3 linked regions of the Pelodiscus sinensis genome follow. Each later gene encodes a partner of the first gene's protein in a complex. Links are inferred from orthologs where the notes say so. Each region holds a gene or a part of one and is shown in the gene's direction. Other genes may lie near its edges.

The links.
Region 2: the proteins of tubulin alpha-1A chain (region 1) and CFAP276 are in contact, whole or in part, in a cryo-EM structure (PDB 7UNG), measured with the Homo sapiens proteins. The link is inferred for Pelodiscus sinensis from reciprocal best matches to the Homo sapiens genes TUBA1A and CFAP276. Residues at the interface, in NP_001257328.1 of Homo sapiens: Lys112, Glu113, Ile115, Asp116, Leu117, Leu119, Asp120, Arg123, Lys124, Asp127, Arg156, Ser158, Val159, Asp160, Gly162, Lys163, Leu195, Glu196, His197, Ser198, Asp199, Tyr262, Pro263, Arg264, Trp346, Lys430, Asp431, Glu434, Val435, Val437; in NP_001231954.1 of Homo sapiens: Pro43, Trp44, Arg46, Leu47, Asn48, Thr50, Pro51, Thr52, Ile53, Thr54, Ser55, Arg57, Arg58, Ala60, Tyr62, Asp64, Ile67, Pro68, Lys69, Asp70, Asp71, Phe74, Arg75, Lys90, Ser91, Leu94, Leu95, Asn96, Lys98, Thr99.
Region 3: the proteins of tubulin alpha-1A chain (region 1) and PIERCE1 are in contact, whole or in part, in a cryo-EM structure (PDB 7UNG), measured with the Homo sapiens proteins. The link is inferred for Pelodiscus sinensis from reciprocal best matches to the Homo sapiens genes TUBA1A and PIERCE1. Residues at the interface, in NP_001257328.1 of Homo sapiens: Met1, Arg2, Gln15, Asn18, Ala19, Glu22, Cys25, Leu26, Glu27, His28, Gly29, Ile30, Gln31, Pro32, Asp33, Met36, Pro37, Asp39, Lys40, Asp46, Asp47, Ser48, Asn50, Glu77, Gly81, Thr82, Tyr83, Tyr224, Thr225, Asn228; in NP_001041730.1 of Homo sapiens: Tyr28, Pro35, Gly36, Arg37, Phe38, Trp43, Phe44, Arg45, Gly46, Tyr47, Arg48, Thr58, Ser59, Asn60, Gln61, Ala62, Tyr63, Gly64, Arg66, His71, Glu72, Pro74, Phe77, Tyr78, Pro79, Asn80, Ser81, Asn82, Lys83.

The regions. Positions count from the first base shown.
Region 1 is NC_134729.1:4,832,695-4,842,243, forward strand, and holds the start of tubulin alpha-1A chain, read left to right. Parts: upstream 1-5,312; 5' UTR 5,313-5,467; coding exon 5,468-5,470; intron 5,471-7,404; coding exon 7,405-7,627; intron 7,628-7,746; coding exon 7,747-7,895; intron 7,896-8,773; coding exon 8,774-9,549. UniProt on the Homo sapiens protein: Tubulin is the major constituent of microtubules, a cylinder consisting of laterally associated linear protofilaments composed of alpha- and beta-tubulin heterodimers.
Region 2 is NC_134737.1:16,132,789-16,142,605, forward strand, and holds the start of CFAP276 (cilia- and flagella-associated protein 276), read left to right. Parts: upstream 1-5,249; 5' UTR 5,250-5,335; coding exon 5,336-5,416; intron 5,417-6,942; coding exon 6,943-7,059; intron 7,060-8,410; coding exon 8,411-8,526; intron 8,527-9,817. Other genes in the region: ELAPOR1 (endosome/lysosome-associated apoptosis and autophagy regulator 1), read right to left, coding at 4,121-4,243. UniProt on the Homo sapiens protein: Microtubule inner protein (MIP) part of the dynein-decorated doublet microtubules (DMTs) in cilia axoneme, which is required for motile cilia beating. May play an important role for the maintenance of myelin-axon integrity.
Region 3 is NC_134732.1:19,818,708-19,828,466, reverse strand, and holds the start of PIERCE1 (piercer of microtubule wall 1 protein), read left to right. Parts: upstream 1-5,757; 5' UTR 5,758-5,844; coding exon 5,845-5,990; intron 5,991-6,592; coding exon 6,593-6,671; intron 6,672-9,607; coding exon 9,608-9,759. Other genes in the region: MRPS2 (small ribosomal subunit protein uS2m), read right to left, coding at 1-124, 1,897-2,026, 3,016-3,138, 3,533-3,560. UniProt on the Homo sapiens protein: Microtubule inner protein involved in the attachment of outer dynein arms (ODAs) to dynein-decorated doublet microtubules (DMTs) in cilia axoneme, which is required for motile cilia beating.

The DNA.
Region 1 (9,549 bases):
GAAAGTTCTTCTTCACACAGTGTGTAGTCAACCTGTGGAACTCCTTGCCAGAGGAGGCTGTGAAGGCTAGGACTATAATAGAGTTTAAAGAGAAGCTAGATAATTTCATGGAGGTTAAGTCCATAAAAGGCTATTAACCAGGGGATAAAATGGTGTCCTTGGCCTCTGTTTGTCAGAGGCTGGAGAGGGATGGCAGGAGACAAATCGCTTGATCATTGTCTTCGGTCCATCCTCTCTGGGGCACCTGGTGCTGGCCACTGTCGGCAGACAGGATACTGGGCTAGAAGGACCTTTGGTCTGACCCAGTACGGCCGTTCTTATGTTCTTATGTTCTTACCTCCTGGCTGCTTCAGTCAATGGTACAAGGCAGCCTGCCCCTGCCTTGTTCAACCTGCTTTGGGTGGCCCCCACCCCCACCCCCTGGCAAGGAAAGGGAGTTCACTCCCAGGCTAATGCACTGAAACTGCCTGCAAAGGGGCCAGTCCCTGCTAATTGAGATGTGGGCACTTAACGGGAGCTGGGCTGAGATCCACCAAACTCCTTGTACACGGGCCATGGCCTGTGAGTCACTGCTGCCCTGCCATGAGGACTGAGGGGGTACGCACACTCATGGGTTGGAGAACTGTGTGCAGAACGCCGCCTGTACGCTTCTGAGCGTGGCATTGTCTGGGTGTGACAATGAGCGTCTGTCTGTCTGTGCCTACCGTTGCCTCGCTAACGTCACCACGTTCCCAGCTGGGAACAGCGTTAGCCTGTGCTGTGATAACCCTTCGAGACTTGCTCCCGGGTCTGACTGGCATTCCAGTCACATCAGTCCCACCGAGCTCTCTTGGTAGGAACGTAGGTGCATGCGGCTCCGCTCTGGATGCGCCTCCTTCTTTCTATCCCCGGCCTCTTGGCTTTTGCGCTGGAGTCCCCAGACTGCAAGAGAAAAGCAGCCTCAGCAATCCATGATGGGGGTGGGGCTGAGAAAGGGACCAGGCCCAAGAATGTGTCTGGAGAAATAATGTGACCCCCTCTTGCCAAGAAAAGAAACCCCCTGGATCTGGCCTGTCTTATTAACATCTGAATGTCAGCCAGCCAGGGGGGGACAATTGCTTTCTCATGGGGCCCCCCTCCCTGTTTCCCCAGCTGTCTCTCTGTCTTCCAGGCTTTTTCTATCCTCATCTCTCCCCAGCCTCTCTCCTCCCTCTCCCCTTCCCAGGCCAGCTTCTCCTGGGGCTCAGTCATATGACTTGCAAGGTGATAAAGGAAGACCAAATGCCACCAGGGATTCCTGTTCTGTCTCCTAGCAACTGAACAACTCGTTGCCTAGCAGCGGGTGAGCAGGGCTCTGTCTTACAAACCTAATTAGAGAGCAAGCACCTCTGAGGCGCCTGTGTCCTTGAGATGGAGCCATTGATTTTATTCCACAGCGCCCAGGGGATAGTTCATTGATCCCTCTGCTGCATTGGCAGAGCCATTGCCTCTTGCTTTAATAACAACCCTCTGCCCTGCCCTAAGACCTTCCACCCAGGATCTAAAGACTCTTCACAGACTTTCGTGAATTGCCTCACAGCTCCCCTGGAAGAGGAATGAGCGGTACAACCCTCGGCTACGTCTAGACTGGCATGATTTTCCGCAAATGCTTTTAACAGAAAAGTTTTCCGTTAAAAGCATTTGCGGAAAGAGCATCTAGATTGGCATGTACACTTTTGCGCAAAAGCATCCGTGGCCAATCTAGACGCTTTTTTGCGCAAAACAAATCTGAGCTGTCTACACTGGCCCTTTTGCGCAAAAGCTTTGCGCAAAAGGACTTTTGCCCAAACGGGAGCTGGCAAGTTTTTCCACAAAATCAGCTGCTTTTGCAGAAAAACTTGCCAGTCTAGACACAGCCCACATGTTACAGGTGGGGAAACTGAGGCACACGGTGATTTGGTGACTCACACAAGGTCACAGAGCAGGGCAAAGGACAGAACCCAGGAGTCCCAGTTTTTTCTTCCTCCTAGAGCCTGGAAAGGAACCAAGGAGTCCTGATTGCCCAGATCTCTGCTCTAGCTCTCTCCTGAAGGCTGGCGTTATCAGCAGCAACACAGCGCCCCCTAAGCTGCCATGGGAATGAAGCCATGCCAGCTCCTTGCATGAGGCTGGCACAGGGATTGATCTTGTGGGGAAGGCCCTGAATGTGTGGAAAGAAGAACAGTGTCCTCTCCCATCAATATAGTGGGAGGTGTCCCCATGCACCCAAAGAGATGCTTCATGCTCCACACACCCCTCAGGAGACACACAGCACAGCTGGAAAAAGCAGCAGGGCACAGCCTGGCATGCCTGAGACGGGGTGGACAGCAAGGCTTTCTATAAAAGGATCTAAGAGCCGGCTGTCTGCAACCTGCCCAGCCAGCATGGAGCCAGGATCAACACCCTTGTTAACCCCCGCCTGACCCTCCCCGGCTTCTATATCCAGTCGCTGTGCTCTACCCTGCCCTCATCTTAAGCAGGGCTAAGCAGTGTTGTGCTGCGCAAGCTCCTGTGAAACCAGATGGGCTGGGGTGGGGGAAAGAGGGGAGGAGGAGCTGCTGCTGTGAAGGCCAAGTCTGCTTCCTTGTGCATTTCAAGGCTAGCATTCACTTAGGCAAGTTCTGCCTCTGTGCTGGGCCTGAGGATGGTCAGGGACCACAGTACTGTGCCCATATCAAACTCCTTCCACTCCAGGCTCTTAAAGCATTTTGCAAACATTAAGGAATTAAACCTCACCAGCTTTCTATTATCCACCATTGTGCAGAAAGAGAAACTGAGGTACAGTAGGGCTCATGAACTTGCCCTGGAGATCCTAAGTCTCTTGATTCTTAGTTTTGTGCCTTAACCACTGAACAATACTCCCTCCCTAAATACATCCACTGGGCACCTCTCTGGCTCACAAAGGTAGGTTACAGTAGGTGTAGCTGTCCCAGTGCAAAATCCTAGAGGAAGCTGCTATTTTCACGGATGGAACCAGGGCAAATTCTTGAAAGGTGTGAATTGGGACCAGCTGAGAGTCTGGTCCCTGGTGTAGGTAAGGCCATAGATTAGAGTGAAAAGAAGGAAGTCAGGGAGGAAAAAAAGGCCAGCAGCATTTCCTGTGCACCAGCCCATAAACATGTAACTGATTTTGGTGAGTGTTCAAATGGATGATTGAGTTTCAGCTCGGGATCTTCCGGTCACTAATGCACTGCAAAGCCCATTTACAAACTAGAGTAAAATGACCCTGAGAACTTGACAGGTCTCCACAGGAAATTGAATTTCCTGAGCTCTCCTCCTCCCCCTCTCCCTCTCCCTGGAAGAGGTATATATATCCAGTAAGCAGCATGTTGTACTCTAAGCTGCTGTACATGTAAAGGTAAATGTAGCATTTTGCTGTGTCCTGGAGTATAACTAGATGGCTCTCTATGTAGTGCACAGGCCAGAGTCCAGGGCAGGATCACAGGCTGTTGTTTCTATTTGTTTCGCTACAATGTGGTTAGAAATTTACAGGTCTCTGTGGGTAGACAGGAACTTGACGAAAAAAACTCAGGTCTGAACATGGCCAAATTGCAATGCTAGCTATCCACCTCTTCTTTGAGCAGCATCCTCCACTGGTGTAAATCAGTGAGGTACCACTGAAGTTCATTTTCACCAGCTGAGGATTTGACCATCTGTTCTTCAGAATGCCCCAGAAGTTCCTTTGTTCAGCTGTGCCTATGGAATCCTGGAGTCTCTTTGTACCTCATCAGTTCCCTGGGGAATGTAGGTCCTTTGTCCTTTTATGATTCAGGAGCAACTCCAGATACAGTCTGTATGTGCTGTCATGCCACAGGGGGCCAATATTCACAGGGATGTTAGTGCAAAAAAATAGCCAGGGGGCTGGGGCTACTTTTCCTGCCTGTTAGAGAGAAATGTGTCAAACTAGTAGAAGCATGGGAGCAGGAACCCAGAGCAGGCTGCAGAATATGGGAAATGTGTAGAAAATCGTGATTTCTTGTGAGGGGGATTGAAAATGTTGCTCACCAGTCTGCAACAAAGCAGCCAGTCTCACAGCTCCACCTGCAGCAGCTGCTGCCTGTCCCCTCCCCACCCCCTCGCCTCAGTTGCCAGCTCTGCAGAAATGGAGCTAGAAAGGCACCTCCGGCCCTGGAAAAGAGGATCTGAGCTCGCCCTGTGGAAAAGGGGGAAATTGGGGATGAGAGACACCTCCCTGTGCTAGCCTCCCCTTTGCAATCGGGTGTAGTGGAACAATTTGTACAGTGTGTGTGGGGCGGGAGGGGAGGAGGCTGGGAGCCATTGAACAGAACTGCAAACCTTGTATATGATGGACATTATTTGGAGCCCAGCAGCTGTGCTGGCCAAGCTCTGGCAGCACACTCCTGCATGCCCTGAAGGTGAGGTCGGGGCTCTAACTCTCAGCTCACGGTTGCTGTAAGTTGGACCAGCCATGACACTCACTACACACCAGCCTAGGGACAGACACTTCCCATCACAACCCTGTGGGGTGGGAACAGCCAGCTCCATGGGGTGGGCCGTGGGCGGTTCTCTGAAGATGGGGATGCATGACTGGAAGGGTGATCTGGTACTTGCAACCCTATGCCCCCACCCGACCCTCCCCTGTATAATTCTCCCATGGCCAAGATGCCAAGTGCTCCCTACAAGCACAGCTGCCAGACCAGCTGTAGCCCAGGTCAGGAACCTCCCCAGACCTAGAGGCTGCTAAGAACCCTTGAACCAAAGTGCAAACCCTGGAACTGATAGGAAGCACTGACTCAAGTCGGTGGGGTGGCAGCCCCCCCAGTCCCAGCCAGGCTCTTCCCTGCTGCTGGGGGGCGAGGTGAGTGCGGGATCCCGTGGGTATTTCGGGGGACGACGACACAGGGAGCAGGGGCTGGAAGTCACTTGCATGGGAGCACCCCACCTGGCAGAGAGCAGGACTGACCCTAGACTATCTCCTCGGGGGTGGGAGATCCCTGACAGCCCAATTCCATGTGGTACCAGTCAGGAGCCCCGAACCTGCCTCACCCGACCCTAAACTTAGCCCTCGGGGAGGAGGGGGCTGGATGACCATGTACTTGATCCCCACACGCTCTTGGCTCATCGGGGGCCCCAACTAAAGGCTCTTCCCTTCCGGTGTCGCCCCAGCTTTCCCCACACAATGCGGCGCGAACCTGGAGGCGGGGGAGGGGGTTCACGCACGCTCCGGATCGGGGCTGACTGCAGCATCTAGCTGCTGCAAAGCCGCCCGCCCCGCCCGCTCTTTGTCTGCAAGCTGGGGGGCGGGGCCATGACCTCATCCTGAGCGCTCCGCACCAATCGCCGGGCGGAAACGGTCGAGGCGGACCAATGGCTGGCAGCCCAGGCCCGTCGCCATGGTGACCGAAGGGTATAAAGGAGGCGGGCCGGCGCGCACACCCTAAGTTCTCTTACAGCGATCCCCTAAGAGTCGCGCGGTAAGAAAGCGGCCAGCGCCCCGCCCGCAGCCAGCATGGTAAGGGGCGCGTGCGGGGCTGCACGCCACGGGGGGCGCGGTAGAGCAGAGAGGAAATGGGGCGCTAAGGGAGTGCGGGGGGGGGCGCGGCTGTCCCCCCCGCTGGCTGCAGGGCTCCCGGGGGGGCGCGGCTGTCCCCCCCGCTGGCTGCAGGGCTCCCGGGGGGCGCGGCTGTCCCCCCGCTGGCTGCAGGGCTCCCGGGGGGCGCGGCTGTCCCCCCGCTGGCTGCAGGGCTCCCGGGGGGCGCGGCTGTCCCCCCGCTGGCTGCAGGGCAGGGCAAATGCAGGCGCTTTTCAAAAGCTCCCAATCTCCCCGCCTCGCTGGCCGGATCGCAGCCGGCGGCTCTGCTCCGCCTTCCCCCGTTCCCCCTTTGGGCGGAGGCACCAGCTGGACTGCGGGAGGGGGACGTGCCAAACCGCCGGGTCCCGGCTGCAAAATCCTTCCCAGCAGAGCAGCCGTGGCTGCCCGGGCTAGCGGGGGATGGAGGGCCACGCCCTGGCGTCCCAGAGGAGGGCGGGCTGCCCGGCCCCCTGCCCACAGAGCAGCTGAGCCAGGGGCTGGTTTCCCACCGAGGTCCCATTTCAGCATCGGGCTGGGCTGCACTGACCACGCCTCTGCTCCCCACTCAACCCCCCCCACTAGCTAGCGCAGGGGAGGGGGCCCTGACCCAGCAGACAAAGGGGGAGGGGGCCTCAGGCGCTTGGGTCCACACTGATGGTTCTGGGGCGCAGGAGGCAGCTGCCTGGATGGGGCTTGGGAGGGAAACGTGCCGTGTAGGCGACCCGCATATCCCTAGTCCTTGTATCGCTGGGCTCGGTGCACGAGGGCTGCATTTTAGCGCCTCGGCAGCATCCCCAGGGCGATGGTCGAGTTCGCAACTCCCCGCTCTCTGCGCACTAAAGGCGGAGCGTCGGGGCTGGGGAATGGCAGCCAGCCCCTTCCCGCAGATGCTGGCTTGCTTGGCATGTGAGTTAGCTTGGACTTTTGTTCTGGCTGATCCATTGATTGTCTCCGCTCCTAGGCGGGTCTGTTCCCAGATGAGGTCAGCGGAGGGGAATTGGCAAACCAGTCTAATGAGATCATGCTGGAAATAGACCAGCCAGTGCTAAGCCAGGGCTGTCCGCACAGACTCCGGCAGGCATGGGGCAGAGGATAGTTAATGGTCTCTCAGTTGCACCAAATGAGCCTGTTCCCAGGCTGGGTGTGGTAGCTCCATTCATTATTCCCTAGGCTAGCCTTCCTGGCTGGGGAAGAGCCATTGGCATGTGGGAGGGAGGGCCAGGTACTGGGGGCACAGAAAGCAAATCAGTAGTTTGGAGGGTGAACTTACCAACTGCTGAGCACCTGCTGGGAAAGGATTCAGCATCCACAATGGGGCCAATTTCTCCATGAGGCACCAGAGTTGTGGGGGGTGGAAGTCTGGCTTGCCTTGTTTTGTAGACTGGGATTCTTATTCATGAGAAGTCCCATCCCAATCCTCTATCCAAATCAGTTTTGCCAGTTCTCTGGGAGAAGAATCAGGCCCTACAGATAAAAAAAGGGCGTGGCAGGTGGGCACATTTCAAGAAGTGTGATGCTGCAAAAGGGTTTCCAGTTACCTCCTACCTGTCTGGGTTAACAAGTATTTTCTTCTCTCTGTACTCTTCCTTTGCCCCCCTATTTTGAGAGCATATGGTGGTTAGACCATGTGGTGTTAAACAAAGAGTTAGCATCTGTGTGACTGTGCTGCTGACTCTTCAGAGCATGCCCCTCTCTAAAGCTTAACCCCTGATACTGCTGCTACAGTTATAAGCACTGAAGAGCCAAAAAAGGCAAACATGGGAGTGTCAAAGGGATCTTCTAGAGATACCTCCATTGCTACTTATTAACATGCAATTGCAGACCAGGCCAATGTGTTCACATCTCTTCCCTGCCTCCCATTCTCTTCTCCACAGCGTGAGTGCATCTCTATCCACGTCGGCCAGGCTGGTGTCCAGATCGGCAATGCCTGCTGGGAGCTCTACTGCCTGGAACATGGGATCCAGCCTGATGGCCAGATGCCCAGTGACAAGACCATCGGTGGAGGAGATGACTCCTTCAACACCTTCTTCAGCGAGACAGGCGCCGGCAAGCACGTGCCCAGGGCTGTCTTTGTGGACTTGGAACCAACCGTGATAGGTGAGTATGCAAAGCCATCATCTAACTGCTTTCTGGACTCCCCTTGTAAGCCCATGTGCAGACAGCTACTGTGCATGGACAGTGGGGAGAGACCGACTCTCTGCCTTTCCTCTCCCCAGATGAAGTGCGCACTGGAACCTACCGCCAACTCTTCCACCCTGAGCAGCTCATTACTGGCAAGGAAGATGCTGCCAACAACTATGCCCGTGGGCACTACACCATTGGCAAGGAGATAATCGACCTGGTTCTCGACAGAATCCGCAAGCTGGTAGATACCATCTCCTTTTAGCATAATCTGGGCAGGTTGTGAATAGAAAGCTGATTGAAGAATGTAAATTCACTGCTGATGGATTTTCCCCCATTTCCAATTCCAGATAATCATATTGTTAATGTTTTTATTGCCACCATATTTGTAGGTGGTCCCAAGGTGAAGTTAAAACTCCTTTGGAATAGAGTAGTTACTCAGAGCAATCTTGGGATAAGAATACCAGACAGTGAATACAGACAAGAAATGTTTTAAGAGATAAATTATTACATTGCTTCCAATTGCACTGGATTTACACTGATGAAACTCCTCTAAGAATGATGGAGTGGGCCCAGATTAATAGAACAGAATTTGGATTCTAAGAGGGGGAAAATGTCTAGGATGGGAAGAAAGTAAGAACTCTTCTCTCTTCCCCCCCCCCCCCCCCCCCCAAGAAATAACTAATCCAGTTCAATGATCCAATCAGTTGACAAAACTAGCAGGCAGCAGGTTTAAAACAAAAGGAAATGCTTCACACAGCACAGAGTCAAGCTGTGGCACTCTTTTCCTGGGGGACTGTTGTGAATGCCAGAATGATCACAGGGCTCAAAAGAAATCTAGATCATTAAGAATAGATCCATTGGTGACCATTGGTGACAATTAGCTAAGGTGGTCCAGGATGCAACTGGATACTTGGTGTTGCAAAGCCTCTGACTGCCAGATGCTGGGACTGGATGACAGATGGATCACTCAGGAATTGCCCTTTTCATTTCCTCTGAAGTACTTGGGAGTGGCCACTGTTGGAAGAAAAGATACTAGGCTAGATGGACCATTAGTCAAACCCAGGATGTCTGTTCTTGTGTCTTAACAATAGCTTCCTTTGTGTTTCCACCTTCTCTCAGGCTGATCAGTGCACAGGTCTCCAGGGCTTCCTGGTCTTCCACAGCTTTGGGGGTGGCACTGGTTCAGGGTTCACCTCCCTGCTGATGGAGCGTCTGTCTGTTGACTATGGCAAGAAATCCAAGCTGGAGTTCTCCATTTACCCAGCACCTCAGGTCTCCACCGCTGTGGTGGAGCCCTACAACTCCATCCTGACCACCCACACCACCCTGGAACACTCTGACTGCGCCTTCATGGTGGACAACGAGGCCATCTACGACATCTGCCGCAGGAACCTGGACATCGAGCGCCCAACCTACACCAATCTGAACCGTTTGATAGGTCAGATTGTGTCCTCCATCACTGCCTCCCTGCGATTCGATGGTGCCCTGAATGTAGATCTGACAGAGTTCCAGACCAACTTGGTGCCCTACCCCCGTATCCACTTCCCTCTGGCCACCTATGCCCCTGTCATCTCTGCTGAGAAAGCTTACCATGAGCAGCTTTCTGTAGCAGAGATCACAAATGCTTGCTTTGAGCCAGCCAACCAGATGGTGAAATGTGACCCTCGCCACGGGAAATACATGGCCTGTTGCCTGTTGTACCGTGGGGACGTGGTTCCCAAAGATGTCAATGCTGCTATTGCCACCATCAAGACCAAGCGCACTATCCAGTTTGTGGACTGGTGCCCAACTGGCTTCAAGGTTGGTATCAACTACCAGCCTCCCACAGTGGTTCCTGGCGGTGACCTGGCCAAGGTGCAGCGGGCTGTGTGCATGCTGAGCAATACCACAGCCAT
Region 2 (9,817 bases), on another chromosome or scaffold:
TAACTGCAGAAGCTACTATTTTAATTTTATGTTGATGTGGCTGACAGTGGATTTAATTTGTTTTTATATTTCATTTAACTATTTTAGTTAACAAAAACAAACCTGATTTTCAACAACTTGAGTGTTGAAATTAAAAAACTAATATGCTTGTTTTGTTAGATTATATGTTTGCAGTTGAAGAAACATATCCAGAATACAGAACGTTGTTTTAGTTAAATAAAACAATGTTAGTGTCTATCTGGTGATGTTCTCCCCTAATACAGCATGGCAAGAAAATCCTTCAAATATTAATGATTAACCTGTTGACTTGGAGATAGCTCACCTCCCAATGACTTCATAAATATCTGCATCAGTTACCTTTGGTAAATGAAAGAAACATTCATTTCAGATTAGTTGTACAGTTCCTTTTGAAGCTCTTCAATCTACTTTGGACTTTACTAACTTGAACAATTTAGTATCATCTCCAAATTTTGCCACCACACTGTTTATCCCTGGTTCAACATATTTATAAATTATCTGGAATAGACCTGGTTCCAGAACGGACCCCTGCAGAACACCACTAGTTCTCTCTCCATTTTGAAAACTGACCATTTATGCCTACCCTTTACTTCTGATCTTTTAATCAGTTACCAATCCACAAGAGGACCTTCCCTCTTATCCCATGAAAACTTACTTTACTTAAGCAACTTTGGTGAGGGACCTTATCAAAGGACACTCCGGATGCTGCTGATAGTCGTACACATGGTCACCAGACAGACCCACAAGTGGGACAAACTGGTGTAAATTGGCACAACTCTTCTGACAACAGCAGATGATCTGGCCCATCAGCAGAAGCAACAGAGGCATCAGAAGACAGATCCATCTCAATAGTTAAACATGTCCTTTAAGAAGGAACTACTCCAAGAATAAATGGTTGTGGTCTCAGAGGGGTAGCCATGTTTTTTAAAGTTACAGACAAACAAGTAGTCCTATGTAGGATTGCCAGGTGTCCAGTTTTGAACCGGACAGTCCAGTATTTGAGCTCTCTGTTTGGGAAACAAATTGAGAAAATACAAGTGTTCAGTATTTTCTAAGTAAGATGTAATGTAGATTGTGATACAATGTCAAGTGTGTCTGGTATTTTTGTTGCTGCCATCTGGCAACCCTAGCCCTGCCATCTGGCAACCCTAGCACCTTAAAGACTAACAAATGTAAAGGATCATGAGCTTTCAAGCGTGAAGCCCACTGCATCAGATGAGTTGGTTGTGGGTTCGGCCTGCCAACCAGACTGCTGCTTTGGACACATGTCCAGCAATTGCCAGACACACATCAAGTGATCTCTCCTCACCTTGAGGTCTCCACAGATGGATTATTAAACAGCTACATTCATCTATAGCTGCTAAGTTAATATATAATACATGGAGATATATCTATCTCATAGAACTGGAAGGGACCTTGAGAGGTCATTGAGTGGAGTCCAGTCCCCTGCCCACATGGCAGGACCCAGTACCATCCCTCACAGATGTGCCCCAGATCCCTAAATAGCCCCCTCAAGGACTGAACTCACGACCCTGGGTTTGGCAGGCCAATGCCCAAACCACTGAGCTGCCCTCCTCCCATGTTTGGGGGGTTTGGGCAAATAACACACAAATACAAGAAGAAATATTGCAACAGTCACCCGCGTCACCAAATCCTGCCCTTGCCAAACTCCATTCCATCACAAACCCCTTCTGACAACAAAAATCACTACACAACTCCAGGAGGACGAAAGCCTGAGATCCTGTGTAAGGCAAGAGTCAAAAGGCAAAGATCGAACCCCATTCTGCTGGATGAGGGGATAACCCCCCACACCAAGAGCTTCAAGGGACCTGTGAGCTGAGTCCCACTTCCCAGGGCTGCAGCTCTCAACATTTTGGCCCCCTACAGCAGGGGTGGAAGAGTGTGCGGCAGGGCCCAGGGCAGCGCTGCAGGGCCCCGGGCAGCAAAATTTCGCAGGGCCCCCCTTGACACAGTGCATGCGCCGTGGTGCCAAGGCGCATGCGCAGGGCCTCGGGAAGCGTGGGGCCCGGGGCAGCCACCCCGCTCGCCCTGCCCTAATCCACCGCTGCCCTACAGTGAGGCTTAGGTGCACCCCAGCAAGTCTAACACTAGACCTGGAAATCCCATTAAGAATGGGCCCCCAACCTCATCACATGAGTAGGACTGGGAAGTCAAACAGCAAACTCGAAGTTAGCCAGAGGGTAGGAATGGTGTCCCTGGCCTCTGTTTGTCAGAGGCATGAGACAAATCGCTTGATCATTGTCTTCGGTTCACCCCCTCCAGGGCAGACAGGCTACTGGGCTAGATGGACCTTTGGTCTGACCCATTCTTATGTTCTAAGTTACCAGGATGGAAAAATCTACTACAAACAGATGACCCAGAATTACAGTATATGGCTGAACTGTATCAAAGAGCATCCCTCTCCTCTGGCTAAAACAAACACAGAGACCCTGATCTCACTGACATGGAAGCTGAGAAATGCTTCCTTCCATCCCTTCCTTCAGGAAGTCCCCTCCCACACTCCAAACCCCTTGACCCAAGACCGGAGCCTGCACCCCAACTCCCTACCCCAGCCTGGTGAAAGTGAGTGAGATTTGGGGAGGAAGGGAAATGGAGTGAGCAGGGTGAGGCCTTGGAGAAGGGGTGGAGTAGGGGCAGGGCCTCAAAGAAGGGGCGGGAAGGAAGCCAGGCAAGGGGATTTCTGTTTGAGGTGGATCTTACATTGCACTTAAACTGAAAAAGTGATCTTGTGGTTAAAAAGGTTGAGACCACTGCTCTAGAGTGGAGGAGTGAGAGCCTAATCCAAGCCCCACTCAAGTCCAGGGGGTGCTTTTGGTGGGCTTATAAAGGGCCCAGTCCAGTGCCATCAAGAACCACATGGAGGGGGAGAGCAAAAGCATTAGAAGAGGAGTATTTCCCAGTGAAGAGGCTTGGTTCTGCTCCCACTCACATCAGTGGAAAACTGCTCCATTGGCCAGAGTGTAGCAAACTCAAGCCATTCCTGACAAGGAGAATAGAAGCTGGCGGAAGCTGCTCTTCCTAGTGGAGCTTTGACTGTCTCCAGCCCCTTCCCCTCCTTTTTCCTTCCTTCATCACTGTTCACTTTCACCACCCAACCTTTTCTGAAAGACGACGAACCAATACACACAAACAGAAATTCCTTCCAGTCACCTAGCAGAAAGCCATGGCTCAATTTACAGGCAGCCTTGCCCAAGAGAAGAGACCATTTGTCCGGTGGGATTAGTGCCAATAGTCAGTGAGAAGGGTGAGCATGAGTGGCAGGCAGGACATGGGGAAGTGCCCCTCTGCTTTTAACAGGGATGTAGCAATGCACTACACTTTCCTAGAACCAGCAAGGGGAGCTATGGAACCAGAATGCCAAGGGCTCAGCACAGTGGGAGCACAGTGCTACGTACACCAGATTTCACACAGGACCAAGCTGATCCTGTAGGATGGCCTTACTTTGCCAGGAGCTGCCCTCCTTGGGAAACTCCTGCTCAGGGTTTTGGTTTGGTGCTTGTCTGTAGGAAGATGGCTCCACTGAGTGGGACTCCCCTAGCACATGCTTTTAGGGACAGGAGTAAATGGAGTGTTTTGCTTCTGCTACTAACATGTTTAGTGGGCCAATTCCAGCAGCAGCACCAAGGGTGCCAGAGAGCCCAAACCTGTAGCTCTCCCTAGTGCTTTTGTAAGGCAATGAGAACTCTAGCGAGGCAGGGCAGCCTTGTTTGTCCTTCCCCCCGCCCTCCAATGCATCTACATAGCACCTTACCCCACATCAGACATGGCACTTTGCCATGTTTTATAAATAAATCTGGCAATCAGACCCAGCACAGCCTCACTGCTGCCTGGCTACCCTGTACTGCCTAGACTGCACCTCTCTCTCTGGCTCCCCTACCCCAAACCTACATACCCCTTACAAGGCTCCATCTCTGCAGCCCCTCCCACTGTTCCATACAGCCCCTTAGGGCATACACAGGGCCTGTAGCTCTGCTCATACCCCTCTCCCCAGCCCCTAGATCAAGTCCCCCCCTCGCCCCCTCTTACAAGGCATGCAGCCCCTGGTCCCAGCGCCCCCAGAGAAGAGCCGGGCTCCCCGTACCTCCTTGCAGGCGTGCAGCTCCGGCTCCTCGCCCCGGCTCCCCTGGCTGGCGGCCCCCACCCAGAACAGCAGGAACAGCCAGAGCCCGGCGCGGAAGCGGCTCCAGCTGCCAGCCCCAGCCATGGTGCAGCAGGGCTCAGGTGCAGCCGCCGCGGAGATGCGAGAGGAAAGGGGACGCCGGAGCCCCGCCCAGCTCCTCGGCCCCAGCAACCGCCGCCGCCGCGCGCACCTGGGCCACGCACCTGCGGCTCGAAAGCAGCGCCTACGCTGCGCGTGCCACGGCAGCTCCGCGCGCCAGCCCCTCGCACAAAGGCAGGGAGGCTCGTGCGCACCGCGCTGGGGTGCAAGACGCAGGACCAAATCTGCGCTTTCCTGCGCGCGAGGCCCCTGCCCAGCCCTGTTTGTCTTCGTGCAACTTAGCCGTGTAGCTCACGCACCTTCCTGCTTAGGCCGGCATTCATTTTTTTTGCACGTGCTCACCTCCCTCCTTGTGCTGTACCAAAGCCTTTGTTCTGCCTCGGCTGCAGCACAGTGGCCAGCAAATCTGACCCCTCGACTCCCGGGGGCCAGTTACAGCACGGGAGTAGCTTTTCTGCAATTAGAACCCGCCCCCGCCTCTTTGCAACAGCGCTTTACTGAGTCCGCGGACTTGGGGGTAGCCCCTAGCATCTTTACAACTAGGGGAACTAGGACCCTAAGTGCGTGTGGTTAAGGCTACGGAGTTTGACAGCTATGCTGAAGAAGGAAATCCCTGAGATCTCTGACTACCACCGTGAGAACTGCAGGGCCTCCCCACTATCACCTTTGGCAGGGAGCTGTATGAGGCACCCCTGCCACCTGGGAGCCCCCAAGCTTCCAGCTGCCCATGACAAAATCTCAGCCTTAGGCATGTGCAATACAGCAAGCTGGGGGCGGGAGTTCTTTACACACCTGTGCATGTTGGTGTTTGGCTTTGCCAAGTGCCGTTTCCATGCATTTTCCCCAGTCCCTACCGCCACTGCGTGGCCCCCTGTTTGCACCTGCGGCTGCCGCATCCCCTTCCCTGGAGGCTGCCCCGCTGCACTGCTCCTTCTAGCCACTAGAGGGAGCCCCGGCTCCAGAGCGTCAGCCTTGGAATCCCCGCGACCGTTGCCTGGCAACCGCGGCTGGGTCTGCAAACAGGCGGCGGCGCGCGCTGCTGGCTCTGCTGTGCAGGTGCTGCCGCCCGGCCGCAGGATGCCGCCTACCCGGGACCCCTTCCCTTCCCCCCGCTGTGAGAACGAGGACACCTTCACCGGCCGAGCCAGGCGGAGCCAGGTGCGGGCAGCGCCGGCCGCTCCACCGTCCCCGCCCAGCTCCGCTCCTGGCAGAGTCACCTCGGGGCGGGAAACGCGGCAGCCGCCGCCGCGCGGGGGGGAGGGCAGAGCAGAGCCAGACGTCAGTGTCACTTTGTGAAAGTTCTGGCCTCAGTTTCCCCCGCTTGCCTGAATTTTTCACAAAGCAACAAACCGGCCGGGGCGAGGGAGAGGCGGCGCCTGGAGCAGCTTTTGACTCGAGGCTTGCCCACCTCCCTGCAAAAGTAGTCCGGTGGGGGGCCACCCTGGGGTCCCGAGGCCAATGCCATAACCCCTGGGCCACTCAAGCACCCGCCCTACCTTCAGCTAGAAACGCGCGGCTTGCAAGACAGCAGGGTCCCTTTGAATCAACTGTTCAACGTTTCAATCCAGCTCAGCCATGCTCTTAACTGGTAGAAATGGGCGGGGGGGGGGGGGGGGGAGGGCTAAGTTCAGCTGCAGTCCAAGTGCACAGAGTTCACGGCGGGCTCGGAGCTGAGTTTCCAAGCAGTTTGCTAGTCTAGGCCTGGCTTCCATAGACCCTGTGCTAAAAATGAGATCTCTAGATCTCATAGATCTCATAGATCTCTAGACCCTGTGCTAAAAATGAGCAAACACTTGAGTCCCACAGCTCTGTAAACAAATGGAGTGAGGTCAGATCTTCACTAGCAGAGAAGCAAGGAACCTGAGTAGGCAGAAAGCAGCAGGGAGTTTATTGTGGGATTTAACTGTCAGAGTTTTGCTTCAAGTAGTCACTGGGGAAAGGGCTCTGGGAAAAAGCCAGGAGTTACCTGTTGGCTCTGCTGGGCAGTGGCTTCTCCTGTCAATTGTTCATAGCCTCCCGTCACAGAGCAAGATGGACCCTATAGCTTCAGGGGCTGCACAAACACAAGTTTGTTGCTGTCCCCAGGAAGTTATGGATCCTAACAGCCCAAGCACTCCTGGGGAGAGCAGAGATGCCAGAGACATAATCCACCATTACTGTGCTAGGATGATTGGTCTAGAAAATGACTTTCTGAAAAATCCTGCAGGCATGTGAGGGGAGATAGGGGACCCCTTGGTGTCCCAAGTGCCTGCTGATAATTATGCCCTCTTGTATTGGTCTGGGGACAGAAGGCTAATTTGGCCCTACATACAGAATCATGTACATGCACATTGGACTAGGGAGCAGTGCATATGTCCAAAGGATGATCCTTTGCTATAGACAACAAGGCATCCAATAGAGACCCTCATGATGTTCCCAGGTGGGTGGGGCTCAATCATATAACCCTGGGGTCCCCAAGACAATGCCCTAAGCCACTCCAGAACCCACCCTGCACCTTCCTACACTCAGGGTGCCCATTATCCAGCCTTCCTAATGGGGCAGCCACTCCCTGGGTGGGTAAGGCTCAAATGAACAACCCTGGGGTCCCAAGGCCAATACCATAACCCCTCGGCCACTCAAGCACCCTCCCTACCTTCAGGCTGTCTCTTATCCGGGCATGAGTGGCTGTCTGTTCTTTGTTCCAGGTAAGCCCTTATGCTGAGCCCATCCATCTAGTCCAGCAACGGGACCCTTGGAATCGCCTGCACAGAACACCTACCCTGTCCAGCACCAGGAAGGAAGTCTGGTATATGGAACCTGAGGTACAGATTCCCAGGTTCCCACCCTCCCTCTTGCTGCTCCCTCAGTGGAAGGGCACAGCCTGAAATGGTCACAGGATTAGTAGATAAAAGTTCCCCCAGTGCAGCAGCATCTGCTTGCCTCAGCTGGGCAGCCGCAATGACTGCACCAAGGGTATAGTAAGGCCTTTCACCAGCAACCATATTGGATTCTTGTCTGTGCTCCACTGGACTGATTTCTGTCTGGGAGCATCCCAAGCCATGAAAGTGTGCCATCCTCACCCCAAGCAGCAGGGAAGAAGTGCATAACACCCCCGCAGTGCAGCAGCCTGGACACCTCTGAACAAGAACACTTTGCAGCTCTCTAGAGTTTTAGGTCACAGGCCTACCAAGCACTTTACAAACATGAATGTCACCTCACAATCCTCCAGCCCTTGTGCAGAGGTGCATTAAGATTTACTGGGACCTTGAGCACAAAGAGCACTCCATTAAAAACCCATGGCTGCTCACTTTTTAACATGGTGTTGTTTGAGGACCACATTGCCCCCCAGAGTGCAATCCTCAGGCAGGCCAAAAGTGGTACCTGCCAGCAGGGGCAGTGCTTCACAGTGTGGGAGCCAATAAGTGGATCAGATCCCCCTTGCAAAATGTCTGCTGGCAGCACCAGCCTCTTTTCAGTGCAGGGGGGGTGCTCTGAGAGGAGTCTTAGTCCCTCTGCCAACAGAAGGCCCAGCCTCTTTCTATGGCCCCAACCCTGGCTGAGGAGGCAAGGATATGGGCCAGGGTTCTGCTGGCTGGTAACCTGGCCTTCTGCCCCGGGATCTGAGGCTCCCAATAGCAGCCTGAACTTTATGGTTGGCTCTTACCAGTCTAGTTCCAGCTTCCAGCCTGAGCAGGGGGCAGGGCTGTGGTGCAAGGAAGGAGGAGAGAAGCATATGGGCTCATGTTCTTCCCCATACATACTTCCACCAACATTGTGGCACTCTTACCGAGGGTCCCCAGATTGGCTAGAGCTAGTGAGCCCATACACTGATCTCCTTGCTTATGTTATATCTGTACTACAGATAGGGACAAGACACAGAAAAGCAAAACTACTTGCTTAGGGTCACATTAGGACTTAAGCATTTCCAGAGCTCACTGCCATGTCTAAGTCTGTTCCCTCCCCGTATCTGGAGCCCAGCTGAGAGTCCTGACTCCCGGACCCCTGCTCTAACTAGTAGAGCAACTGAGACAGAGTCGTGTGTACAGCCCCACAGTGGGGCCACAGCAGAGATTAGTTTGTCCCCTGCCTCAGGAAGCCAACACAGCACAGAGGGTCCCTTTGCCAGGGTTGTAAGAGGCACTGGCTAGTGACTCTCATTAAATCCTTCTGCAGGTTCCCAGAGACAGCCTGGATTTTAAGCTCACCTCACTCTACAACCACCACAAGGAGCTGCTCCAAGACAAGAACCAAATAGTCATCCACAAGGAGACCCTCTTTGATGACCATGGGTGAGCAGGAGCAAGTGGCCTTTCCCCAATCTCAGGCAGGACACAGCTGCCTCTGGAGGATCTTATTGGTAATAGTGAGTGCCCCAGTCTGCCCACAGCTGCAAGGGCACCAGTAGCAATGGCTGGTTAGCTTTGTCATGCAGCTGGTGGGCCCATTTCTTTTGGGGGCAGGGCAAGAGATACTGCAGTCCTGAGGCCAAGTCTTTTCAGTCTTCCTTAGCCATAGGGAAGCGTGACCTAATGGTCAAAGTCAGTCTGACTGCCATCTGCTACGGCAGAGTACCAAACAGTCTTGGGCCATGGTATCCAAGCTGTTCTGAAGCAGTAGCTACGCTCAACCAGCCAAATAGCTAGATTGTTCAAGCCAACTAGCCAGATGTGGCCAGTGGCTAGCATGTTGGACACCACAGGTCTAGGGTCTGATTGCCTGGCTCTGGCAGACAAACACCAGTCTCTTGGCCTAAGATGGGGAGGCTGCCACCTCAAGAGTGGGGCTGGCAACAGCTGGTAGGGGGGAACTCAAGCCCACCCTATTCCACCAGGTTCCAGTCTAAGGCCCTAACAGTATCAGAACTTGAGTCAGGGGGATCCCACCACATGCTGGCAGCATTTAGCCTAATAGATCACTCCCCACTGCACTCCTCACCTGCCTCTTCTGACCGCATCTACTTATGGGAGCATCCAGGCATCCCCAGGCTCCTCCGCATGAGCAGCTCCAACTGGGCATCTTCCATCACATCTGCAGTCTGAAGATTTGTGAGCATCTAGACTGGAGCCAGTAACCTGCATCCTCCTGTGTCAGCATTCATCCCCAAATCAACTGAGTTGCTCCCTTTTATACCTGGGTTCCAGTCAGAGCATTCCCAGCAGGGCCATGGGTGTGTGGCCTCCTCCAGTGGGTGGGCTTAGCTCCAGTGTGGGGCTGGCATGCAGCCTACATATTGCAGAAGATTCTGGTCTCTTGGCTTGTGCATGGAGGAGGTCTAAGCATAGGTTCAGTGATGTTGCAGGACCATTATGAGGAAGGAAAGCTCCTTCCTAGAAGCAGCTCTTGAAATGATTTTACCTCAGCAGCAGGGCCACCTGTAGGCATACACAGCAGGCACCTGAAAATGTGGGACCACACCGGAACAGCTGCCTCAGTAAGTAAGAGTAGGTTGGCTCCCACATGCCCACCGCACACTGCTACCTCCTTAGGCAGGGTCCATATTCACAGAGCTGAATGCACCAGCAGGGGGCTTCAGAGTCCATATGCTGATGCTAGTTACTATGAGTACAGTGCTATAAAGAT
Region 3 (9,759 bases), on another chromosome or scaffold:
GATCCCTTTGCGGTAGGCGACGTGGGCTGTGAAGTTCAGAGCCAGCTGGAGGTGTTTCACTGTCTGATCCAAGTCGATGATGTCCTGCTCGAGGCGGCAGCCAAAGATATACGGCTCCATAAACCTGGGGGTAGGAGAGGAAGGAGAATGGGACACAAAGAACTCGGATCATTTTTAGTTTTTGACTAACGTTTCCAAACGCTCCCTGTCCCTACAGAAACTCTCCTCTGTCAGGGCATCTGTCAGCCTCTAACCCAGGGGCGGGGAAACTTTTTTGGGCCGGGGGCCATTGACCCACAGAAAAAAAAAATCAGTTGGGGGCCACACAAAAATGAGAAGCCAAAAAAAAAAAAATCTACCTCACTCAAGTGAGGCTCTGGGGTGGGGTCAAAAATGAGGGCTTCAATGTGTGGGAGGGGACTGCCAGGAAGTGGGTTTGCAGTGTGGGGTTAGGGTGCAGTAATGAGTTGGGGGTTGGTGTGTCTGGGCAGGAGGCAGTGCAGGAGTGAGCCTCGGGGGCCAGATCTAAATAAGCCAAGGGCCAGATCCGGCCTTTGGGCTGTAGGTTCCCCACCCCTGCTCTAACCAAAGGGAGTCAGGAAGAAAGTTTCCCAGCAGTCAGGTTATTCTGTAATTGCCTTCTTGCATCTTCTTCCGCTGCTAGCTGCTGTCAGAGGCAGGACACTGAGCTAGATGGATTTTGGGTTTGATCTTATCTGGCAATTCCCAGGTTCCATTTAAGGGAAAGTGATAGAAATGTGGCCGTGTTAGTCTGGTGTAGCTGAAACAAAATACAGGACAATGTAGCACTTTAAAGACTAACAAGATGGTTTATTAAATGATGAGCTTTCGTGGGCCAGACCCACTTCCTCAGATCTGGCCCACAAAAGCTCATCATCTAATAAACCATCTTGTTAGTCTTTAAAGTGCGACATAGTCCTGTATTTTATTTAAGGGAAAGGGCAGTTGAGGTCCTAGCCATACAGATCATTCTATCACACCCTGATAGACAGGGGTTCGCCCAGGTGAACCAGGGTCTTACTTTGGTTCTCGATCAACTCACTGGAATGCCAGAATATTTGCAGTAAGAACCCTTTGGACCCCTACAATCTTTAGCTTACAATGCTGCACGAGACATCAAACAACACAGGGCTGGGCAAGATGCGGCCTAGGGTCCAGCTCCGGCCCGCCTAACACTTTGATCCAACCCCTGGACGGCACCTGGCCACTTTCTATTTATGTCCTGCTGCCTGTGCACTCAATTTCCAGGTGGTGGCTCAGGCAGCAGGATCCTATTGAAATGACTTAGGGCTGGAGCCATAAGCCCATTAAATCCTAGCAATTTAAAGGGCTTGCAGCTTTGCCGCTACCATGTTGCCTTGCAGCCGCCCAGGGTTGCTGCAGCTCTTTAAAGGGCTCCCGCTCATGGCACTACCCCGGCAGGAGCCAGAGCCTCAAGCCCTTTAAATAGCTGCAGTAACCCTGGGCGATTGCCAGGCAATGCAGTAGCAGCAGAGCCGGGAGCTCTTTGTTGTGTTTTTAATTCAAAGTTTCTGGCCGTAGACAACTCTGGGGGAAGGAGAGTCCTCAGCCCTGCCCCTCCTGCCCTAGGCCCCGCCCCTCTGGGGGTGGAGCCAGCCCATGACCGTGTACCAAAATACGAAAATTATTGCCCACCCCTGAAATAAAATAACCCTTCTCCGTGCGACCGCAGTCAAGCACAGACTTATTGTCAAAGACCTTAGGAAGGAACCACCTTGCAAACACTTTTCAGGGCAAAGAATCCTCCCCTTCTTTTCACCAAAGACCCAATCAAGAGGCAATGGAAATAGACCCATTGTCTCAACGGTTAATGGCTCAACCTCAAGGCTCCACACATCAAGTTCTGAAACTGACCGATGACGGCACCCTTCTTTGTGCCCCAAGTGCACTCTGGCATCGAAGAGATCTTTCAGGGAGAAGAGCTCTTTCACGTTGAAGAAGTCCGAGTGCTTGAGGGGCTCAGTGATGAGCTTCTCATTAATAGCTGAAAGAAGGACAGCGAGAGGTTAGAGCTCCGGTCCCAGTTTGTGCGGCACAGAGGTTCGGTTGTGTTGTAAAAGAAGAGTGTTGTCTAGTAACTGATTGCCAATAACAGCACAATGTTGGGGTACGCATAGGGTGGATAGTGAGTTTACGCCATCCCTTCCATCCAGGTATCTTAATGCTTTTAGGCTTTCAGGCTCATATTATTTATCTCAGAGTAGAGAGGTACGGCTAGGTTAAGTGACTTGCCCTACGTCATATGGGAAGTCTGTGGCAGAACAGGGAACAGCTCTCAGGAATCCTGACTTTTGAGCCCAAATCTCAGGCATGAAGTGATCCTTCCTCTGCTAGGCACATGGTCAGAGGGGAATCAAATGTACTGAATAACACATGCGTATGCAATCTGAAAACTAAATAGTCAATTTGGCTTAGAAAAGATGCTCACAAGATACATGATCCTCTGGCGAAAAGCAAACTTGGTGGCTACCAGAGAGAGATGGTTGGCTTATTTCAACTGTCTTTGGTCAGTATCAGCCGAATAGGCTGATTCCTCTCACTCTCCTGAAACAGGTGGGCTATGTCTACACTGGCCCCTTTTCCGGAAGGGGCATGTTAATTTCAGCTATCGTAATAGGGAAATCCGCGGGGGATTTAAATATCCCCCGCGGCATTTAAATAAAAATGTCCGCCGCTTTTTTCAAGAGCATCTACACTGGCCCCGATCCTCCGGAAAAAGCGCCCTTTTCCGGAGGATCTTATTACTACTTTGAAGATCCTCCGGAAAAGGGCGCTTTTTCCGGAGGATCGGGGCCAGTGTAGACGCTCTTTTCCGGCTTTTCTAAAAGCCGGAAAAAAGCGGCGGACATTTTTATTTAAATGCCGCGGGGGATATTTAAATCCCCCGCGGATTTCCCTATTACGATAGCTGAAATTAACATGCCCCTTCCGGAAAAGGGGCCAGTGTAGACGTAGCCGTGGGGGGAATCTTACCATTGGGGTCTGCTGGAGGATTTGCTTCTGGAGCAAGAAGAGTTCCGTAAAGTCGACTGCTGAGCTGGGAGGTCCTGGGGGCCGCTTTCCCCAGGGACTCAAGGCCCCTAAACCTGGGGGCGACTGCCCATGGAGAGAAGGGGGACAGGAAACAAAAAGCCTTCAACAAGGAGTTAGGGGGACCAAACCCGCCGATAACCCCCAGCCGCACCCGTCTGCAGAACCCAAAGCCCCTCCCAAAACCCTTCCGCGGACCTTGAAACAGAGGTTAACATTCGAACCACCCCCCTTCCTTTCCCAAAGGGGGGGAAACTGAGGCATGGGGAGGGGGGAAACTGAGGCACAGAGTGTCAGCGCCTGTAAAAGCTCGGCCCTTTGTCTGCTCTGGCAGGCAGGGAGCGTGTGTGTGTGTGTATAAGGGGGGGGGGGGGTCTTAAAGCCTCAGCCCCTACAAGCAGGAGCCAGCTCCGCTTTGAAGACAAGGCTCCCGCTGCCCAGCCCCGGCTCCCAGCCTCACCCGCCCGCAGCAGCCTGGCCGCGGCCATGTCCTGGGCACAGCACGGTCCCTGCACCGGCCCCGGCCCTTTCCGCTTCCTCTGCGCGCAGCCGGGCCCGCCCCGCAGCTCCGCCCGCTGCCCTCGCTCCGCTCCCGGCCCAGCGAGCGCTCTGCCGCGGGGAGAATGCAGACGCCCGGCTCCCAGGCAGCAGCCGGGACTGGGCGGGAGGCAGGGAGGGGGACACGTGGGGATCCCCCCCCTAGGCAATTAAAGTCAGGGCCTTGGACCAGGCGATGCCTCTCCTTTAGAGGGGAGGGACTTTTGGGGGGTCGGGACCCAGGGGGAAGTCAGCTGGGGGCCGCACACAAGTGAGAAGCAAAACAAACACCCCCCCCCCAAAAAAAACCCACCCCCGCATCTCACTGACATGGCCCCCAACTGAGAAGCAGAAAGACTCCACCTATTCCCCTTGCACAAGGGGGGGCAGGGGGGAGGGCTCAGGGTAATAGGGAGGCAGGCTCAAGGAGTGGGGTCTGGGCAAAAGGGAGGGTGCAGTAGAGGGCTGGGAAGGTCCAGGAGCAGACCGAGTGGGAGGTGGGTGCAGGACCGAAAGGGAGGTGGTGGATCTGGGCAGGAGCTGGGTGCAGGAGAGGACTGCTCATTAGCTGCTTCCTCCCCTGCTTGTGGGTTGGATCCAGACCCAACTTGCCTATCGCCTGCAGGGCTCAGGGCTTTTCCCCCCACTGCAGTGGGAAGCCAGTGCTGGCACGCCAGCCTGTGGGGGACTTTGTTTTGGAGGGCTGGAGTGCCTGCCCCAGCCCCCTGATGCTGGGGGGAAGCCCTGAGCCTCAGGGGCTGGATCCAGGCGAGCCAGAGGTCACTTCCAGTCCCTGGCCTTCGGTTCCCGACCCCTGCTCTAAATACAAAACATGACTAATTTGTAGTGGTATCCTGTATATAATACGCAAATATAACACTTTATTATTTCTATTTTCATTGTCCTTTCTCTTAGAATAATATCCTTTTTTGGTAATGCTATAGGGCCTCTTAAACTTGACATAGGCCTCAGCTGTGTTAGTCTGGCCCTGGGTGCACCTTTGACTGCTTCCAGGAGTGACCTGTGAAAGGTAGCCACTGCAAAAAATTGGAAAGGGTACAGAGAAGAGTGACAAGAATGATTAAAGGTCTAGAGAACATGACCGATGAAGCCAGGCTTCATGAACTGGGCTTGTTTAGTTTGGAAAAAAGAAGATTAAGGGGGGACATGATAGCGGTTTTCAAATATCTAAAAGGGTGTCACAAGGAGGAAGGAGAAAATTTGTTCCTCTTGCTCTTGGTTTCTGAGGACAGGACAAGGAGTAATGGGCTTAAAGTGCAGCAGGGGAGGTTTAGATTGGACATTAGGAAAAAATTCCTAATTGTCAGGGTGGTCAAATATTGGAATAAATTGCCAAGGGAGGTGGTGGAATCTCCCTCTCTGGAGATATTTAAGAACAGGTTAGATAGACATCTGTCAGGGATGGTGTAGGTGGAGCTTGGTCCTGCCTTGAGGGTGGGGGGCTGGACTCGATGACCTCTTGAGGTCCCTTCCAGTCCTATTATTCTATGATTCTAAAACCTCCCTGCCATATAGCATGTGTCAGCTGGAATTCCTATTCTGGGCCTATTGGGTTTCTACAGAGACCAGAACATGTGTGAAGCCCTAGAAACAATAGGATTGATCAGTGAGCAAAATGACTGCTCGTCAGATCCAACCCTTTTTCACAAATAAGTTGTAGGATATATGGCTTTGACTAGGGAGGTAAAATCCCATTTAATTAGTTAACGAGTTACACATCAGATCTTGTTTAAATGGTCATCCGATTACATGGGGAGGAGGCTGCTCTGGATCACTCCTGCCTGTTACCTGTTACCTTACTGGCTGATGCTTACTGGTTAACCATTCACATCCCTAGTTTGGACTGCACTAGTACCTAAAGGCTCAAATCCCATTAGGAGACAGACGGGAGCACAAGGAAACAATGAGACAACATGGGTCAGCAAATGGGCCTTCCTCATACCTGCTTCTCTCTGGTCCCCAGACCTCAAGAGACTACTCTCAGTGGAGTGCAAGAAAAGCATTTGTAAGCTGGGTCCTTGTGTAAAAATAAAAAACCAAAATAAGATAAAAGCGTACTGTGCCTTTAAGAACTTTGTTGCCAAGTTACAGCCTGTCTCTTAGCAACAGACAGTTTGTTACTTAAGCACCCTCCCATTTTCCTTTGTGCCTGGTCATTTTCCTGCCTCTTTGTCCAGCTTGGATCAGCAGAGTCCCCAAAGGCCTTAGCTCAAAATGCACCAGGAACATCTGCCGGAAGCATCGGCCACCAGTGAAAAAGAGGCAGAAGTGGGTTGGTCCCAGAGAACCAGTGATTACTACAGAGTTAGTGATGATTTGCCACCCCGGTTCAACCACCCTGGATGGTTTCAGGGCTACAGGTAAGGAAGCTGATATAACTTGTGTGATGAGCAAAAGCGGCATGCACAGTGGGAGGGGTTCACCACACATCCAGAGGTGGCCACATTTTGCAACAACGCCCTGTGATCCTGTGGCATCGTCATGCTGTTGGCAAGACTCTGAAAATAGATACCCATTTTAAGACCTGAACTGCTTCTAGGAGGTGCTCCATGATTAGCCACCATGGCCAGAGGTCCCCAGCATGCTTTGCTACAGCTTCATTCAGATCCCAGCTTTCCAGAGTGCAGATTGTGTAGAATTTTCCTTGTTTTTAAATTCCTCCAGGAACCTTTCCTTGCTGTTTCTGTAGCAGACAGTCCCTCTCTGCTCCCTCAGTCTCACTGTTGGTGAAAGACCAGCTGCTTAGCAGCCTATACCACTTAGAAATGCCCTCTCATCTCTCCTCACCTTATATATTCCCCATCTCATCCCAAAAGCATCTTTTCAACTTTGTCTGCACTTAATGCCCATCTGTTGCTGTAATTTATCTCCATAATCGATACCATTTAATGCTGTAGAGTGCTGTGGGATACAATGTGTATGAAAGAAACCATTCCAAGTAAAATTACCTTCTATTGTGTAGAACGAGGGAGCCTCATCCAATGTACAGGACCACCAACCAGACCTATGGAAGTAAAGCACCTACTGTACATGAAATGCCAGTAAGTATATGCAACACAAAGCTAATTACAGTGTGGATCAATCTTACCTTTTAAGCGAACTCTAGGCATGCACTGAATATTTGTTTTATCTGTGGAAGTACTTAAAAAAAAAGTCATGCTTTTTGCTTGGTTCCTTTGTTTAAAAATCTGTCAATTCAGTTAGAGCTGACACATTACCTTCCTTACGGAAGCATCTATCCCTTGCAGTATTTTAAAATACATATATTATCCTGCGGGCACTTAGCGTTTACTCACCCTCCTGAACCCAAGTATCGCTCGCTCCTGGCATGAGCAAACTGGGGAGGGAAGCCATGTGTGCACGGCCACAGCCAGCCAGAATGCAGGCACAAAATAATACTAAAAAGTAGTTAGGAGAAGGGGAGCAAGGAAGAATTCTGATGGATAAAATTTATTTTCTCATATCTTTTGTTAAATTTGAGTGCTTTCAATCCAGACCAGCAATGGTTCAAATTTAGATCTCCTGTATAACACCCAATAAGCTAATTTTTCAATGGCTATTAACATTTTTATTTCATGTTACCACTCCAGCCTCTTACAAAGGAAAAATGCAGTAATATATTGCAGGAAAAATGGAGGGGCATCATCATAGTTCTATTTTAATTTTGTTGGTCTCACCAAATCTTTGAAATCAGAAGGTGGCATTTTCAGTAGCCCCTAAGTGACTTTCAGAAAGATATATGCTCTCATGTTGCCTAGGGGCTTTTGAAAAATCCCACCCAGAAATTTCAGTGTCTCCAACAGCACATTTTACAGTATAGCAGGGTTAGAAAGAAAAGACTCAATGGTTTAAAAGGGGGCAAATGCAATGACCTAGAACAGCGATGGGCAACCTAGGTTAGTGACCAGGCTCCATAAGTGGTCCTCTTTTCTCTTAGTGAGCCACAAGATTATTGTAACCAAGATGGTCTACCACAGTGTTTGTTAAACTGTGTTCCACGGTGCACCGGTGTGCCGCGGAGAACAACAGAATTCAAAATGGCCACCCTTAAAGGGGCAGGCGACTTTTTTTTCCCCTCAACAAAAAATCTTTGGTGTTCCTCATAAAAAAAATTATTGTTTGGTGTTCCTTGGTCTTAAAAAGTTTAAGAAACACGGGTCTACCAGGATAGGATAGTTTTGCTAACTACGCGTGCATATCTAGTATTTGCAGGGGTACCGAATGAACTGTAGCAGCTTTGATTGGATTCAGAGGGAGTGCACAGATCTCACAATGTTATATACAGTCAGCACACACCTCACTTCATGTGCCCTGGCTTCATGTGTGTGTCACTTTAGTAATACTGGTGGGAAAAAAACCAACATGGATTGAAGTCAGCGGAATCTGGCAACCCTGCATGTGGGCAATAGTGATGTAAGCAACTAGCCGAGTACCCAGTGGCTGTGTCTACACTGGGCCACTTATTCCGCAAAAGCAGCCGCTTTTCCAGTGTAACTTGCCAGCTGTCTACACTGACCGCTTGCTTTTCCAGAAAAGCAATGACGATCTACTGTAAAATTGTCAGTGTTTTTCTGGAAAAAATTATTCTGCTCCCGTTCGGGCAAAAGTTCTTTTCCGGAAAAACTGTTCCAGAAAAGGGCCAGTGTAGACAGCACAGTAGTCTTTTCCGGAAAAAAGCCCCGATCGCGAAAATGACGATCGGGGCTATTTTCCGGAAAAGTGTGTCTACATTGGCCACAGACGCTTTTCTGGAAAAAGTGCTTTACTGGAAAAGCATCCTGCCAATGTAGATGTGCTTTTTCTGGAAATACTTATAACGGAAAACTGTTCTGTTTTAAGCATTTCCGGAAAAGGGTGCCAGTGTAGACGTAGCCCATAAGCATATGCATATTGGGTATTCAAGTAGTGACTCGACTAGTTTCTTCTCCCTTTACCTTTTGCTGCCTCTAGCAGGGGAAAGAAGTAGGAGCCAGTGCTGGGGGGAGCATGGTTCCCCCAGCACTGTCTCAGGGGGCAGGGGATGGAGGAGCAGATGCAAGCCGGCAATCAGCTGATTCCAGGCTTGCATCCGGTCCCCTGCTACACCTCTGCCTTCTAAATGTACTAAGAGCTTGGCGGCTCTTAATACATTTAAAAGGCGGAGCCGCCATGGGGTTATCTCTCGGGGCTGGAGTTAACTCCGCTGCGGCTCTGCAGTTTCCCCCCTTATCAACTGAAATTCTGTCGATTTCTCGATTAGCCGATTACAACTTCGCTTCTAAGCAACAGTAAATAAAAAGTATCATGGGCCACACATAGAACCCCAAATGGGCTGCAGGTTGCTCACCACGGTTCTAGAACCTCTTTTGAAACACAATGGAGTAGATAACATTTTAAATTAGACATATGTCTCCCCTCTCCACATAAACAAATTGAGTCTCTAGCCACTTGTGGCTGAAGTCTGATGCCAAAGAGAACACGGTGTTTATTCACAAACACCCCCCCAATTATACTGCTACTAGTGCATAAAAAAATAATCAGACGAGCCAAGTTGGAACACAGGGATTGCCAAAGTGAAAAAAATAAATCCTAACCAAAAGCACATGGTGCTGACCAATGCCTGAAGCTTCAGAAGGTGGCCCTAGTTTTTCTCCCCACTCACACATAGCATATCACAATGCATCTGTCACAGACAGGTATACTCAAGAATTGCCGGTTCTGCATTTAGCTGAAGTTGGTGCAACCTCTCCAGTCTGCTCCATTGGTGTGCTGCAGAAATCAACTTTGTTTCTGCAAAATTTAGGACATGTTTCCTAGAGCCCAAAGACTCTTGCTTAAAAATATGCAAACAATCGGTGGGTATGTAGGTTCTTTCTGCCCCTGATCATAGCTGGAGTTTGGTAACTTGTGTAATTATATCCTAGCTATTGTAAAAATACAGAGATGCTATTCATATGGGTATCTAAAGTTTTTCCTCTTGCTTTTCTCCCTCCTCCAGACCTCTTTTAACATTACCTCACATGCATTTTCAAAAAATCTTGGTAAGTGTGGCCTGTATAGGAATAATGGGCTCAACACCTACATAGAGAAAAGTTACGTGACTGGCGCAGATAACTTCATCACCTTCTACGACAGACTCAACTTTCACCC